2 linked regions of the Styela clava genome follow. The protein of the gene in region 1 purifies or fractionates together with the protein of each later gene. This does not show direct contact. Links are inferred from orthologs where the notes say so. Each region holds a gene or a part of one and is shown on either strand. Other genes may lie near its edges.

Region 1 (8,067 bases):
CTCTGTGTGGCGGGGGTGAATGCCGACGATGAGGTGGTATATGATTAGAAAATCGATCAGGGGGTAACCACCTACCAGGGGAATGCCGAGCCCCAGGGGAATGCCCTCGATGTCGTCTCGGAGGGCTCGGCATTCCCCTAGGTGGGGGAGACATATCACGTCTTCTGTACGGAAAATCATCCCGTCTATGAAAGTCTCTATCTTCCCCTCGAAACATTTCGAAACGTTCAAAATCACGGTCAAACCGTTCTCTATCAGGAATCCTGTGATCTTGACCGAACCTAGGCGAATGCCGAGGACTGACAGGATGTCGGTTATGATATAAAGGAGGAGTAAATCTATCCCTTTCGTCATAAAACCTGTGAGGAGGTGGGGGGTTAAAAAATTGTGTATTTCGTCCAGGACTTCTCGATCTAGAATCGCGTCTATCATGAGATATAATATCTCGATCGTGATGTGGGTAAGGCAGTTCCCTACTGGTCCCGGAACCTTGATCAAAGTCTCTCGGAGGTGACACGAAGTCTCTAGGCGGAGGAGAGTGTCTCGAAAATGTGTTGGGTAAAGGAGAATTCGGAACTGAATTTTTTCTGTTTTTCTCTCGCTTAGTGCTAGATCTCTCAGACGATCGTGCTCGTTCTAAAGGGGCGTGATGAGGAGAGTCCATTGTATTTGAATCATATGAATCAATTGAGTGTTTTTTACTCCGTTTTGATTTTTTCGACAATTTTTTGTCTTTCCTCCTCGACGAGTGGGAAGATTGGTCATCGTCTTTGGACTTTGAAGGCTTGGTGGAATTATTCGGCGGCACTTCATCAAGATTGTATTTTTTTGTTTGTTCGTAAAGTAAAGAGCTTATACGAGATTCAAGATCTGACGACCAAACACGCTGTCCTCCCGATTTTACTTCTTCGCTATCAGTGGTATGTTCAGTCTCATGATCAGTATGTTCACTGCTCTCTTTTCTCTGCACAGGAGTGTCCACACTTGATTTCTTCTCAAGTTGTTTGTGAGTAAGTTGAGAAGATTTTTGAGTGTTATATTCCATTTGATCAGTATGGTCTTTACTGTGTTCTGAAACCTGAAAAAACAACAAATAATGAGAGAATTGCTAGAAAATTTAATTTCATATTTCATTGTAAAATACGAACATCGATGTCATCTGACGATCTGTGAGAATTAGGTTTGATTTTCTCATCTACGGATCTTCTTAGTTTTCTAAAAAAATTTGAAAATAAAGATTAATTATAAGCATTCTACAACCAAACATAGAATCAAAAACTGTTTACTGTTGACCTGGCCTCTAGGAACCAGAATGAAGATCTCTAACTTGAATAATAATATTCAAAAAACATTAAAGATTGGTATTATTCAATATAGCAAGTTCTGACTTTTTATTCAAATTTTGTCATTTTAAGCAATTTGTGTTCCAAAATAACATGTATTCAGACACACACTGTAACATGCAAATTTCATATTAGATGCAATATTTTTTTTTTCAAAAAATAAATAAATTTCAAGGATAACCAAGCAGTCAAATAACTACCTACGTCCAAGGGTCTTCCTGTGCAGAGCCTCATTCGGAACAAACCATGAAAAGTAATTAAATCCGAGTAAAAACTTTTTCCTCGCACCAAACATAAACAAACCTGGGATCATCTTGCGATGATTTTCTCCTTTCTTTTTTACCGTGATGATGATGATGTTGTTCTTTATATTTAATTGACATAGTAATGCCATCCTGCGTATGTCGAATTACATCGGGTATTGTTTCTGCCATCATCTCACCTCTCACTATCCGTTGGAAGAGCTTGTTCAGAATTTCACCTGTGTATGAGATACAAGAAAATAGTAAAACTAACCTGAATTGGGTGACAAAAATAATTTGTTTGGAATAGGAATTAGGAATACGGAAGGAGTTGGAGTCGTATTATGAAACCACCAAATTCAACCATATGAGCCAAAAACAAATTTGAGATCTTCAAAATCAAGTTAGAATTTCAAGACTGTAATGAGGGTAATTTTTTGACAAAAACTAAATATTTAATATACCTAATATCTAAATATCTAATATTTAAATCAACTAAGAATACTCATAAACCATACAGTAGGATTGGATAATTTTTATAGTCATTTGGTTTTCTCGTACTTAGGTCAAAATTTTCTTAAACCTGTTTTCATCCAGACGTTGGAAGTCGTTGGTGGAAATTTCTTCCACACTTTACAGCTCTAGTTAAATTTGCAAGTATTCAATCTTGCCTAAAAATTTGTAAAAGTGCAGCAAAAACATTTTATCCTAAATACATTGAAGATTATTCAATCCAAACTTTATTTTGAAAGTAATTAAATAACATATAGCCTACTACATATAGACATTCTCTTATTCGTATAAGATAAACAACAAAGATTAAGTACGAGCGCCTTAAGTGAAACAGACAACTACATATGAGCAGCGCCAGGGTTAGAATGATTAGTGAATAGGATTCACTCAACCAACCTTTACAGTCTATTTGTGCATGAATCACATTTCCCATGACTGAAGTCTGGTGGAGTTTCTTCACACATTCAGATGCGGACTTGATCGATGAAAACACAACCTGTGAAAGTGAACAACGAGATTAAACAGGATGCTCATAAACCCCTTTACAGTTTTGCTTTTGTTATTAAGTCAGTTCTCAATATATCTTATTAACCATGTTTTAATCAGGTATTTTTACTTCATTCAATACATCTGTGAGGGCCAAAACAATACGGCCCATGATATCCATAAATTCCCTATGCAATTTTAAAAAATTTCTAAGACTTCATGGACACCCTATATTTTTTTCAGGAAATATAATTTAAATTAAATACGATGTTCATTCATGTAGTTTGAATATTGATATAACTATGTTAGCATCTTTAGGTTGGAAAGAAATATTAGTTTAAGACTGGTCATCCATTAATCAGTTAGGTAGACTGTACCAAACCAGATGGACTATACACGAGATTAAGTGACAACATTGTTAGATGCGAAAGCAGTACAGTTACCATATCAAGTTTAAGCCTATTAAGCATTTTTCATTGTTACAGAATAATAGTCTATTTAAATAACAGTTCAGTTACACCATCATAGTTGAACATATCTTGCAAAGATTGCAAGTGTATAAAATCAGTAACACACCTTAGATAAACCCATGTGCTTTTGTGTCTTTGGGTGATGGTAAACCCTCACGCGTTCCAGTTTTCCAAACTTGATGCACATCTTTTCCATGAATTGTTTTGTGATGTTATCATTAAGACGAGAAAAAGTGACCTCACGAGGAGGAACAGCGCCAATGTACCACTCGTCAACCTGCCAAAATGTTGTAAATCGTTATAAATAGTTTTACATTGTTTTATCATAAGCCATAAGCAATTCAAATGTGGACAACAAATGGCTACAATTATTATTACAATCAGTAATCACCTTATATCGTGGAACAGGTAACTCACATCGCTCTCTTCTTGACCATAATCGATTCATCCTGGGTCGTGGATCTCGTAACACAACAACACCCTGTCCATGGTTCTAAGTGAAAAAAAAAATAAAATTTAAAAAAAAGATCTTTCAATAAAGATGGTTTCACACCTACAAAACACCCCTTTTTAGGAAGAATTAAAATCCCATTAACTTATCTAGTTACCGATATTATTAAAATATGTGGGTAAAATGCACAGTACATGAAAAAACAACCTTCAAACCACTCCATAAACTAGTGGTTTTAGTAACAAAAACAGTCTCCCATATTCAATAATGATGTTGAAACTATCAATCCTTACAAGTATATATAACAGTACAGATAGATAGAAATTAACAAAATATAGGATTGTTAGGAATTACGAAAAATCACTTATTTTTATCACTTATTATTAGGCCCAATTTTTTTATTTTTCAAATTCACGATTACATCTTCATATAATATTTAATATGATTCTTTTAACATTTAAAAAAAAAATTACTGCCATTGTGGTGGATAAATTGGACATTAGACTTCATATATTTGAGTATTGCAGTCATGTTAATAAGAATATCTAATACGCAAATTATATTCGTAGGCTGTAGCGCATAATTGCAGTACTCACAGATAATCACATTTAAATATGCAATACACAAGATAATGACTAGAAATTATTCAAAGAGGGTCATTATCCAGCTGCTAATAAGCATCATTATTATCAACAAATCCATACATGTTCATCTGCGATAGAAACACATGTCATGCATATGATATAGTCCATAAATATTTATATATATATACTTCCAGCTGCCAGCATAACATTGGATTGCAAGTTATGCAAACAGAATTTTTGTTTGTTTATGTACAATCAAGATATAACTTCATCTAAGAATCAACGATATCACTATCAACAGCAGAAGCATTTTATTATTATTAATAGATTTTGCTCAAATCAGAGTGGTAATTTTGCATAGGTGAAGAAGATTTTCATCAGCAAGCGTACTTGCAAGGCAGCCACTGAAATGACACGAGCTACTGAAACCATACATAGATTTAGTTTTGGTGCAGTACAGCACAGTTCTCTGATTCTAAGAATAGCATGGTGTGCATGTGGCGCATGTGCCGGCATGCCAGGTACCGTCATTTCAGTGACAAATATGGTGTTTGTATTATTGAACCAAATGTCAGGAATCAGGGAACTGTGCCCTGCTGTAGTATACATGCTACCCATCTGAAAAAATCCAAATACTGAAAATAGACCAAGCCAGAATAAATTCAGTTCAATATAAATAAATAAAATCAGTAATAAATATAGTGTCATGAATAAAATTACTGATTGAAACACTCACTTCTGTATTATAAGCAACTCCCTCATATCTAAAGAGTTTTTCTTCACCTCTTCTTATTTGAGGGTCGACCAATAATTTATAATCTTTTTTCTTAATTTGTTCAGCACCTACTCCTTGGATATGGTTTTCTTTCTTCACATCAGACATAATATTAATCCTTTATCAAAGGACTTGATAGACTGGTGAATCCATTTTTCTACACTATAGATAATTATTGACTTTAACAAAAGAAATATAAAAAATCAGTGTTGAATTGTTAACAAGCAACGTGCAAGTCTGCACTATAAATCTTTATACTCTCCATAGCTCTGTAGCCCCACATTAGAAGACATCAATTATAACAGTACTAACAGTTGGAGTTACGTGAAACTAACTACCTTTCCTTGCTCTATGCCTTTGCGCAGGTGGACCCAGATGCGTATAACGCTATAGCAAGAGTGAAAATGACTATTCTATTCAATTCAAGAGTCTTGCTGCACACTAACACAAATGTATTTCTGTAAGGTTTCGTCTGACCGAGGTCAGACTTCTTCTTTATGTGCATGCAATTGCGTTTCTTTTCACAGTTGTAAAATGCTTGTCTGAAGAAGTTTAACCTCGTACATTTGTGTTAGTGTGCAGCAAGACTCTTGAATTGAGTAGAATAGTCATTTTCACTCTAAAAATAATTAAAACAGGGACTGCAAACCCCTGTTTTACGAGATAGTCTGGACCTCCATACTGGCAAAAATCTGCAAATCAGCCCTGTCAACAAATTAATAGCGCAATTTAAAAACGCCACTATGGATTCCTTGGAAAATAAAAAAAATTGATTTACCAAAGAAAAAGATTTTTTTTCGTAGCATTCACGAAGTTTTAGTAAAAAAATGCAATTTTGGTCACATGACGGCCAACGCACGTCACAATTATTTCAGATTACCATTGAGACAAGCATGACGCATCTGCTGTCGTGTCATATGCCCTTGTTTCAGAGACAAAATAAGTGTTTGTTGCATTGAACTCAATGCCGGCACATCCTTGAATCCTGGAATCAGACAACTGTGCCCTACTGTAGCTAGCTCTTGATATTTTAGTTGTCGACCGCGTCTGAGTTAATGCGTGTGACCTTGCTTCGAACAAGTTTCCTTAGAGAAAAATTAGTGTTGTTAACACTAAAGATTTAAATTCAGAACTAAAGAATCAAAACAAACAAAACAATCACACTGGTGAGAAAGTGCGTTTGGTACAATATACTGATATGAGCAAATGGATCAGATACTTTGGCTGTTTGGTAAGGTTAATTAAACTATTTTCAACAAAAGTTGATGTGTAACTGACCAAAATTTCGTCCTGATGGTATAATAAATACAGGTATATCAGAAATACAGAAATAATAAATATGTAAATCATATCCTATAAATTAATTAGTAACTACAGAGCTAGAAGAACTGAAGAATAGATGAATTTGTAACCACAAAACTAATCTACATTATTCAGTGGCACCAGTCTATTTTCTGGTCCATTGCAATATCAAAGAGTCACAGTGTCATACCTTGTCTTTGTACAACTCGATGAAGCGCAGCCTAGAATTTTGAGACAAAAAGCCGCCTACATTTTACCGCTGCAACGGCGGTTTTGCCACAAACTTATAGCCTGGGCCTGTCTCAGAGCCAATCTACTCATGCCTCTTTGACTCACACTAGGAACTGGAGGATATTACTTACCTTACCTTGGCCATTTTTATCTTCAGAACAAGTGGTACAGCCATCAACAAAGCCATAGTTTTCACCGAGCCGCCATTAGCTCACTGCCACCATCTTGTGACGTGAACGAGAATGAAATTTAGTAGGATAGGAATAAAATTAAAAAATTCTATTATATCTGATTGAGATAGGCCGATAGATAGACCGATAGATCCAAAAAGAGGGAACCTAACGAAAATTAATTATGTGGCAAATAACGACCTTTCATCACGATACCACTACTATAAACTATCAGCCCAGATTGTTCTCCATGTTTGAAAAATGAAAATGACGATGTTGTTATTTTTTCAAACAACTTGTAGGGTTGTAAAAATGGTAGCTACTGCAATTTTATTTTCGCTTGGAGGTGAAATAAATACGTTTAATTACGGCTTAGCGGCATACGTCAAATGTGCTATGCGGAAATATCGTAACCAAGATTTCTAAAATGTTTGTTTGCCTTCGCAGTGCCTGACTAAAAAGCTTGGTTGTGATTGTGTACTGTGATCTATGTCCGGTACATTCAAACTGTATTGATGTGTGATTTTTTTGGACACTGAATACTTTTGGACACTTGTTGTCAGATGGTGTTGGAATTTCATCGCCTCTTATGCTGATTGTGAAATTCAAACATACTAATTGCCATATACAGTATATTCAGTCACATAATATCACGAATGGTAGAACATTCGGAGGCAAAATCGCGTTGCCATATACAGTATATTCAGTCACATAATATCACGAATGGTAGAACATTCGGAGGCAAAATCGCGTTGATGCTTTTATCATATTTCTACATATTTGGCTTAATATAGACAAAAACAAAGAAATGATAGATGTGGAATAAAATTGATCGATTGATGTATTATTATGGTATTATATATTTGTATTGAAAATCGTACATACAATGGAAGTTTTGGTTGCTCATTTGTTGATTTTCTCCACTACGAAGTAAACCTAACCCGGATAAAGAAGAAAGTCGTCCGTGTCTTGTTTACGCCACGTCTATATTCGGTAACATATATTTCTAATTTATAGTTCGCTGAGAAGGGTGAAAGCGCCACCGAAATTTGCAGTTGTGTATATAGATAAAAAGCTATAACAACACGGAATCAGAAGTTGTCATTACCAATAGTTATTGATCATCGCGGCACTGCAGTATTACCGGTATGGTAGGAAATCATGTCATAAACTTGGATTCAAAGTCATTAAGATTGCATTCTCCGCGAGATGCAGGAGGAATAGACAGAATCGTGAAAAAACAAAAAGGATCAAATTGGAGCAAGTTAGTTAACGAACTTTTGTTTTTTCAATAAATTTTCGGAGATTTCAGATTAACTGCTGATTGACAGCAATTCCATAATTATATTTTTCTGTTCTTGTATTAGTGGTTATCAATTTTTCATTGTTTACTTGCTACAGCAGTACCGTACAGTGCCATGTTATGCTTGCCTTGGAATCTGAATAAAACTTATACTTGTATTATTTGATGAGCAAATTAAGAGGTCATTTATCCTTTCA
Region 2 (8,067 bases), on another chromosome or scaffold:
TACGAAATCGCTGAAATGCGCTTAGAGAACCACGGCACGGTGGGCAATATTTAATATCGATGATGTCATCGCACACAAAAAACGAATCCCATAGAGCCCACAGAAATTTTCGGAAATAATAAAAGTAATGCCTTTCTAGCGAATAAGACAATCCTTAACCACTGAAAATTTCAGAGCAATTAGTAGTTAATGAGTAAAGTTTTTCTTCTTCCTGAAGTATGCGCACCAAGATGGCGCACAACCTGAACCCGGTGGTGTACACTGTACAGGGTTAGGGTTCAGGTTGTGCGACATCTTGATGCGCATACTTCAGGAGTACCGCTTTTTTATAACGATGAGAGAGGGAAAATACCAACAACATATCACCAAACGAAGTATCAAGCCCTAGCTATTTCCAATTGTATTCTAGCAACATTTACTACAGTATCAACATGGCCATTTCAGAGTAATTGCTATGAAAAGTCAAAATGAAAAGTGCATTGCTAGCGTTGTATCATTTTCACTGAAAATCAATCAAAGACTTGAAATTGAAAGACTGAAGTGCAGTAGCCTACCTTTCAGTACACTATGAAATATGAAGCACGATTGCATCTCGCTGTTTCAGAATTAAAAGTCAAGGCCAATGCCACAAGTTTAGCGTTAAATTGGTGTTTATAGATGAGTTTTGGGGATGTTATTTTGAAATACATACTCAGTTTTGTTTTGTTGCTATTTTAATTCGCGTCCTTACAACTTTAAGGTTTGAAATCTGGCCCGACACTAAAAAAGGCTGAAAACCACTGGCTTAAATACGGAACGACAGCCCATACGATAAGCAAAATGGAACTAGATGCATTGACTTGATGGTAGAGAAAATCGAAACCGATCTTGGGTTACATGAACAACCCCACGACATTGTTCAACAATCTCTTACACACAATGGACCTTTCCCCGAGCATCGACTTCCTGTTTACTTCGTGACATTGGCCAATCAACAAGATGCAAAAAGTGACGTAACAATGCTCCCTTTTTGCATCCGCTCAGACACTTTTCTCACTCAGACAGATTTTCAAGCGCGGTCGTAAACATTACCTCATTATCGCGTTTTTGAACTCTATTCGTTAGTTTTCAGTTGTGTTTCGGAAACTTAAATATAAATAAGATAATTCAATGATCACCCTGTTTTCCCATGAGTTCTAATTAAATTGCAGTAATAAAAAATTAGTGTCGAAATAGCTGTGATAGACTAGGCTAAAATTCTTTACCGGTACTTTTAAAAAACAGAAAGTTGTATGCGATGAATCATAATGATGGTTTGAAACACATACCCCATTTTACAGGCGCCAACTCGCAAAAGCACTCTTAAAATAGCCCCGAAAATTTTGCAATGGCAAAGTATAAGAAGAATTTATTCGGGGGTCAAAGGTCGGGGAAAGGTCCATTATCCCACAAACTCTTCCCTAGTGACCTTAGATTTGTGTTAGGACGGATAGAATGTACCGGATCACCTATGTGATATTGTCGCTCGTACTGGCTTACACATATGTGCGTAATAGAAAATGATAACGTAGATAGCGAGTTTGATAAATTATATCAGTACAACGACTAACATACCGTATCAGTAGCACAAAATCATATCATTATTTGTGCCATACTTCCAATTTGGTGTTACCCATTCTCTCATATAGTTTGAAGAATATGTTTTTACGGTATGTTAGTCGTTGGTTTTTACGACCCATCCATGAAGATAAAAATGTCACAACAATTAATTTAAATTATTGGACATTCATTCTGATTCCAAGTCGGCAATTCTGAGTAATCATAATGAACCACCTTCTTATGAACAAGGCATAGGAATACTCTCGTTCGTCTATTTCCCTGATAAGAGACTGGACCGAAGCGGAAGTTGAAAAATAATGCCGATAAGGCATCTCGTTGTTTCAAAGCTCCCGAAACCAGACAAAGTCAGCGTGTCACGACAAATGACGTCACCCACGTATCATTGCAAGTTAACCATTGGCGTCTCGTGCGCATGAATATTTGGCGCCTCGCGCGCATGAATATAACATCACGCGACAGAGCTGGGTGGAAACTGGAAACACTTCGACGTGACTGTAAATAGTACTGCCCTTTGTTTTTATCAGAAAGGACGATTCACGCGTGTGGGCTCAATAACAACAATGTTTAATTTTGATATTTTCCTCGACTTATCGTAACTTTTACTATTGTGATTAGATTATGATGTATATAGACAAAGTTTAGCGTTAGATTATTTGTCCATATGGTTCTCCTTCATGTCTGTATGTTGTATCGTTGGTTATAAGGTTTTTGCGAGTATGAATAAATTCAAAAAATTTGCGATTTGGCGTTGGGAATTATTTTCAAGTGTTATTGGTGCAAAAACTGATATTTATATTCTGTTCATTTATATAGATTTTCTAATTAAATCAAACTATGAGTGATTTTTGTCTTGCATAGTCTGCAACACAAGATTGTTTGAAGAGTTCACATTCTGACATTGCTTAACCCTGCCAGCCTGTCATAAATTGGCACATTCAGACATTGCTGTCGACTTGAATTTCTCTTTACTACTATAATTCGTGATCCAATGTATTCACCAATGACGAAGGACGACACTAAGAAAATTATGTTAAATAATAATCATCAAGCAGCTGTTCTTGATGCCACGGGTTGGTAAACTTATAAGTTATTTTTTATTAATTGAACAGTTTCATGGGTTTGTTTTTCTGTATTTTGCTTTCCAACTACCAAGTTTCAGGAGTTTTGGTACACTTGAACAATTTCAGAATTTTGTTGTCATAAACTTCAAATAATTGTCTAAACTTTATACTGTTGTACCTTGTACTGTTGTACGATTAGTCATTCCAGTATTTCCATTATAATGTAACCGCGTGTGATATAACGTTACAGATAACTTTTTAGAAAAATATGTTTTTGCAAAAGTTTTGTCTATTCCTGTATACTGATTTCTTGATTTAGTAATTCTGTAATTTGTCGATTACGTATTGGAATTTTTTTGGAGAATGTAGTCTCCAAATAAAATTGCTGCACGAGACGGAGTTTTAAGTCATTCGGTCATAATTTTTCAAAGTTAAAGAGTGCATGGAGTGATGCTTTTACTCGGCAGCTCAATGTAAGCCAATACCTGAATACTGTAAAATGTGGGACCAGAAATAAGATTCTTTGTTCATTCATTTTTTTTATTAATACTCATCTGGGTTTCCTTAACATGGTTTCCCTATTTTAAGGTCTTGCTGAACTTGCACATCGTGAATATCAAGCAGGCGATTATGACAATGCAGAAAGGCATTGTATGCATCTTTGGCAGCAAGATCCAGATAATACTGGCGTTCTGTTACTTCTCAGTTCTATTCATTTTCAGTGTCGGAGACTTGACAAGTATAATCCAGTTCTTACAATTTTATTCTGTTATTGTTTTAAATGTACTCCTTCAAGTAAGAATGGTGACATAACAAACCAATTTTTTTCAGGTCTGCATATTTTTCAAAACATGCAATTAAAACAAACCCGATGCTTGCTGAAGCTTATTCTAATCTTGGGAATGTTTTCAAGGAAAGAGGCCAATTGCAAGAGGCCTTAGAACATTATAGGTATGATATTTGAGAAAATAACAATTTATCAAACGGTGTTTGTTTAATATATGGAATTGAACGGTGTTTGTTTAATATATGGAATTGGACATGTAATATTTGTTTTCTATTTGAATTTAGGCATGCTGTACGCTTGAAACCAGATTTCATTGATGGTTATATCAACTTAGCAGCTGCTTTGGTTACTGCTGGAGACTTGGAAGGCGCAGTTCAGGCTTATTTTTCAGCTCTACAAATAAATCCGGTAAATTGCATTCCGCAGATCATATTTTCATACTTTCCCCTTCAATAATAATAATCAACTTCAACTCATTTCAGGATCTCTATTGTGTGAGGAGTGATCTTGGTAATTTGTTGAAAGCTCTTGGACGTTTAGAAGAGGCAAAGGTATTTGCAGCATTAAATTGGCATGCTTTTTACATTCAGCAAATGCGCATTTGCGGTTCTTGGCATATTGCTATCTACACCTGAATCCTGAATCATACATGCTGGACTCGAATACTTTTGCAATTTATCGTTTCGATGATGATTTGGTCTTAACTAGTTATTTCGCTATGCATGCTTCAGGATTCAGTTTGTGTCGATAGCAACCGAGAAACGCTCGAGCACATGAAAAGTTGAATCACTTCCATGGCACATCGACACATTTCCGAAATCCAAATACTGTTTCAGACATCAAATAGAATTATTTTACATTAGCACAAATATGATTTTTTTGCACATGCTTGCTTTTTTATTAAGTCTATGTGTAAGAGTTCTAGAATAATCGACTGTGCACCCCATTATTGGGTTCGACCTGGCTCTGCGCCACCTGTTTTCTTGAAAATATTTCTGCTGTAATTCAGCTCTATATTTTAATAGAAGTTGAACTAGACAGGAAAAATATAATAATTTTTGTAATCAATCAAGCCATTATTTTCAAATAAGTCATAGCCCTCTGCCATTCAATTCTGAAACCAAGTAATTCAACAAGAAAGTCATGTTTGTGCTCTTGTTATTTCATAGTATGTTTAGCCTTGCTTCGAAATATTTTGCTCCCTCTGATGTTCACAATGGTCAGTGTTGTTTTCCATCCGTGCTACATGTTATAGACAGGTATAGCAGCAGCAGATTCATTTCTCTTCATCTCATAAAACAACACTGAAGATTGTGAACATAGCAGTGTACTGAAATGTGCAATTTTCAAATCTATTTTTAACGACTTTTCAAAAAGTGACACTGTATTATTTATTTTTTGTTTAAAATTGGATTACTCAGCTCTGTTGAGGATGAGGTAATTTTTGTATTCCTATAAACCGGAGCGAAATATTATTTGGGCATGGCTTTTGCACTTAGTCGGCGAATTCGGCATTGAAATGAAGGTACATTGACCCACATGGCTGTCAGTGGACATATTTTGCTACCCATTTGAAATGTATTTCAACTACTCAATATCCAATCCATCCCGATATCTTACACTGACAGTCAAGCGCTCGTGGGTTGTAAGCTGACGCAGCAGTTGTTATTGGAAAGACATCTTCCTGGGATTAACTTGTGCATTTGGACATGTCTGTATCTTGAAAACTTGAAAACCCCAGATAGTTTTTTTTCCAGTAAATGCAACTCTCAGCTGTCACGTTCATTTGCTAAATTGCGTCTTTATAAATATATTCTGATCTTAGAATTTGGTGTTTGAAACAAAATTCTTGGATCAGTAGCGGAATTGTATCTCAAATTATTTTATCAATTGGCTCGAAACTAAATTCTATGTGCAATTTGGTATTATTAACATGATGTGCCATGGTAAGATATTGTATGTGCTCATTTTTTAATTAAAAAGCTTCTCTAGAAGGACAAAATCTACCTGATACAGGATGGTTACTCAGCATATATTTACATCTGTGGTATGAATTAAAGTTAGCAATGGTAAGGCATATGCCAAGTATTGCATATTTTAATTAAAACCTCAAACTTTGTTTGGCTTTAGTTTCAAAAGTAATTGTTTCTCTCTAATCTGACGTTAATGTTGTTTTTCTTCAAATTTGACATTATTGTTACCAAAGGATTCTAGTTCAAATTCTTAGACATATCTAAAAACAAGAATAAATAAAAAAATGTTTTTTGTCAATGACATAATTACAATTACTGATCAAATGTAACTTCCAAGTACCAGTATTTATTTAAGACATCTTACAATATTTTAATCTTGTTATTTTATTCTTTATCTCTCTGTCATATTTATCAAGTCAATTTAAGAAAGATTGCACAGAGCTCGTCAGCATTCAACAGAGCAGGACATGAATATCACCATGCCAGATGACTTCTTCGTATCTCTAATAAATATCTCAGGCACCCAAGGCTACTTATTGTTATGTAAGCGCCGACAAAATGCGGCAACGGTATGGTATATACCAAGTTGGTCCAAGTATATAAATATGGATCTTTTATTTTTATATGTATTGTATTACTGTGCATTGTCTTGTATTTTTTGCTATGTGCGCCGCGCTTTGCGAATTCTATGTTCAAATCTTGCTGCATCATTTTCCACTCACAATTGCTTGACTTTAAATTTCTGCCAAAATTTTTGGTAGATCTATTTGACACAACTTGCAAAAAGTATTCTTGCAAATGTGAGACTCTATGCGGATGAAGCGAAGTAGAAGCTAATGTAACCATTTATTTCATCAGAGAAAATTCGGCATCTTTGGCTTCATTTCCGGATTCTGCTGCTGCTGCTCTGTGCGATATCAAAACTCCTTTTTTTCTTATCCTAATTTGTCTTTTATTCTCGCGTTTAGACATGCTATCTGAAAGCTATAGAAACACAACCAAATTTCGCAGTTGCTTGGAGCAACCTTGGCTGCGTCTTCAACAGTCAAGGAGAAATATGGCTTGCAATTCATCATTTTGAAAAGGTATTTTTCTTGTTTTTGTATATTTATGTATAAACATTATTTTATTGTACAATGGGGTATTGATTCAGTTTTTTATCATGGATTTCAGGCTGTGACGTTGGATCCAAACTTTCTTGATGCATATATCAACTTAGGAAATGTACTGAAAGAGGCAAGAATCTTTGATAGGTAATCATTGTAACATTCTATTTATTACTTAAATTAAAATCTATATTCCTTAAATTTTTTCATGTACAATTTTCATTGTAGAGCTGTTGCTGCTTATCTGCGTGCATTGAATCTATCACCAAACCATGCAGTTGTTCATGGAAATCTTGCGTGTGTGTATTATGAACAAGGGCTGATCGATCTAGCGATTGACACATACAGAAGAGCGATTGAACTTCAACCGCACTTTCCTGATGCATACTGCAATTTGGCCAACGCCCTCAAAGAAAAAGGTAAAATTGCTATTCCGGTTAAATGTATTGTGTTATATCAGACTTTTGAAGGCACGAGAGTATGTAGAAAATGTTCAGACTAGCTTTTTGTCCACTCTTTTCGATTCTGATCATCTGTCTCTCAACTCTGAATTTTTTTTACCCTGATATCTGTTACAAAATGCACTTTCAGGTAAAGTTGAAGATGCTGAAGAATGTTATAATAAAGCACTGAGACTGTGTCCAACACATGCAGATTCACTTAACAACTTGGCAAATATAAAACGAGAACAAGGACTGATAGAGGAGGCCATTGCACTGTATTGTAAAGCATTGGAGGTGATTACTGAATTTTTTTTTTGATCAATCTCTTAACACTTTCGATGCCAAGATCAGTTTTTTCAATTTTACCGTTCCGTGCCAAGGTGAAAACGAGAGAGTTCTCTCCTATTCATTCTCTCTCGTATTTAGTTTTTGATTCATCGGGAAAGGGGCGAACCCAGCGGTGTCATCAGTTATCGTTCATTCCGACACTTCAGTCGTAGGTGAAAGAACTCACCTACACACGCGTATCTTGTCGGAATTGCTCTCTCATGCTATTATAACATAAGTTGATGATAACTTGTCTTGATCTCTCATTGCGATAAAGATTCAATTCGAACATTTTATTCAGCAATCAGAATCATTCATTTCATTATACGAAAATATCAAATTTGAACAAAGAAAACAAAATCGTTTACTAGCATAAAAATATATCCTTCATTCGCTATATATTCCAATAACATTAATAATGGCCAATTATTTTCACTCACAGGGATAACATATTGCAAAATAAACAAAGTAGTCACATTGCATATTCATACAACTGTAACACATATGTATCTCTATAACCTCGTCACCATTACAATACGTCGAAAGTATTGAAATCGGCCTCTTATCTTGCCATAGTAGTGCGAGTAATTGTCCTTTTCGTAGTGAGATGATTTCCCCTTTCTTTAGTTTTGTTTTTATTTCTGCTGGAAGTCCCTTCCGGTTTGCCGTGACTGTTCCCGTTATCGATGTTTTCTTTCGCTGCAATTCCTCGGCTAATGCGACAGAGTTATAGAGTCTAAATTAAAAATGGATATTATTCAAAATTGGTTG

What was found. Proteins that work in one complex are often made in the same cells at the same time.
Region 2: the proteins of uncharacterized protein LOC120333780 (region 1) and UDP-N-acetylglucosamine--peptide N-acetylglucosaminyltransferase 110 kDa subunit-like purify together in Homo sapiens (affinity purification with mass spectrometry; 4 studies listed by BioGRID and IntAct, with this or other methods). This does not show direct contact. The link is inferred for Styela clava from reciprocal best matches to the Homo sapiens genes SETD1A and OGT.

The regions. Positions count from the first base shown.
Region 1 is NC_135264.1:11,334,309-11,342,375, reverse strand, and holds the start of uncharacterized protein LOC120333780, read right to left. Parts: upstream 5,064-8,067; 5' UTR 4,973-5,063; coding exon 4,826-4,972; intron 3,548-4,825; coding exon 3,446-3,547; intron 3,332-3,445; coding exon 3,161-3,331; intron 2,595-3,160; coding exon 2,495-2,594; intron 1,825-2,494; coding exon 1,647-1,824; intron 1,216-1,646; coding exon 1,149-1,215; intron 1,079-1,148; coding exon 1-1,078. Other genes in the region: voltage-gated purine nucleotide uniporter SLC17A9-like, read left to right, coding at 7,716-7,831. UniProt on the Homo sapiens protein: Histone methyltransferase that catalyzes methyl group transfer from S-adenosyl-L-methionine to the epsilon-amino group of 'Lys-4' of histone H3 (H3K4) via a non-processive mechanism.
Region 2 is NC_135258.1:11,146,955-11,155,021, forward strand, and holds the start of UDP-N-acetylglucosamine--peptide N-acetylglucosaminyltransferase 110 kDa subunit-like, read left to right. Parts: upstream 1-2,411; 5' UTR 2,412-2,587; coding exon 2,588-2,669; intron 2,670-3,248; coding exon 3,249-3,399; intron 3,400-3,491; coding exon 3,492-3,611; intron 3,612-3,731; coding exon 3,732-3,855; intron 3,856-3,929; coding exon 3,930-3,998; intron 3,999-4,084; exon of another isoform or gene 4,085-5,887; coding exon of another isoform or gene 5,888-5,989; intron 5,990-6,388; coding exon 6,389-6,505; intron 6,506-6,593; coding exon 6,594-6,673; intron 6,674-6,754; coding exon 6,755-6,945; intron 6,946-7,117; coding exon 7,118-7,263; intron 7,264-8,067. UniProt on the Homo sapiens protein: Catalyzes the transfer of a single N-acetylglucosamine from UDP-GlcNAc to a serine or threonine residue in cytoplasmic and nuclear proteins resulting in their modification with a beta-linked N-acetylglucosamine (O-GlcNAc).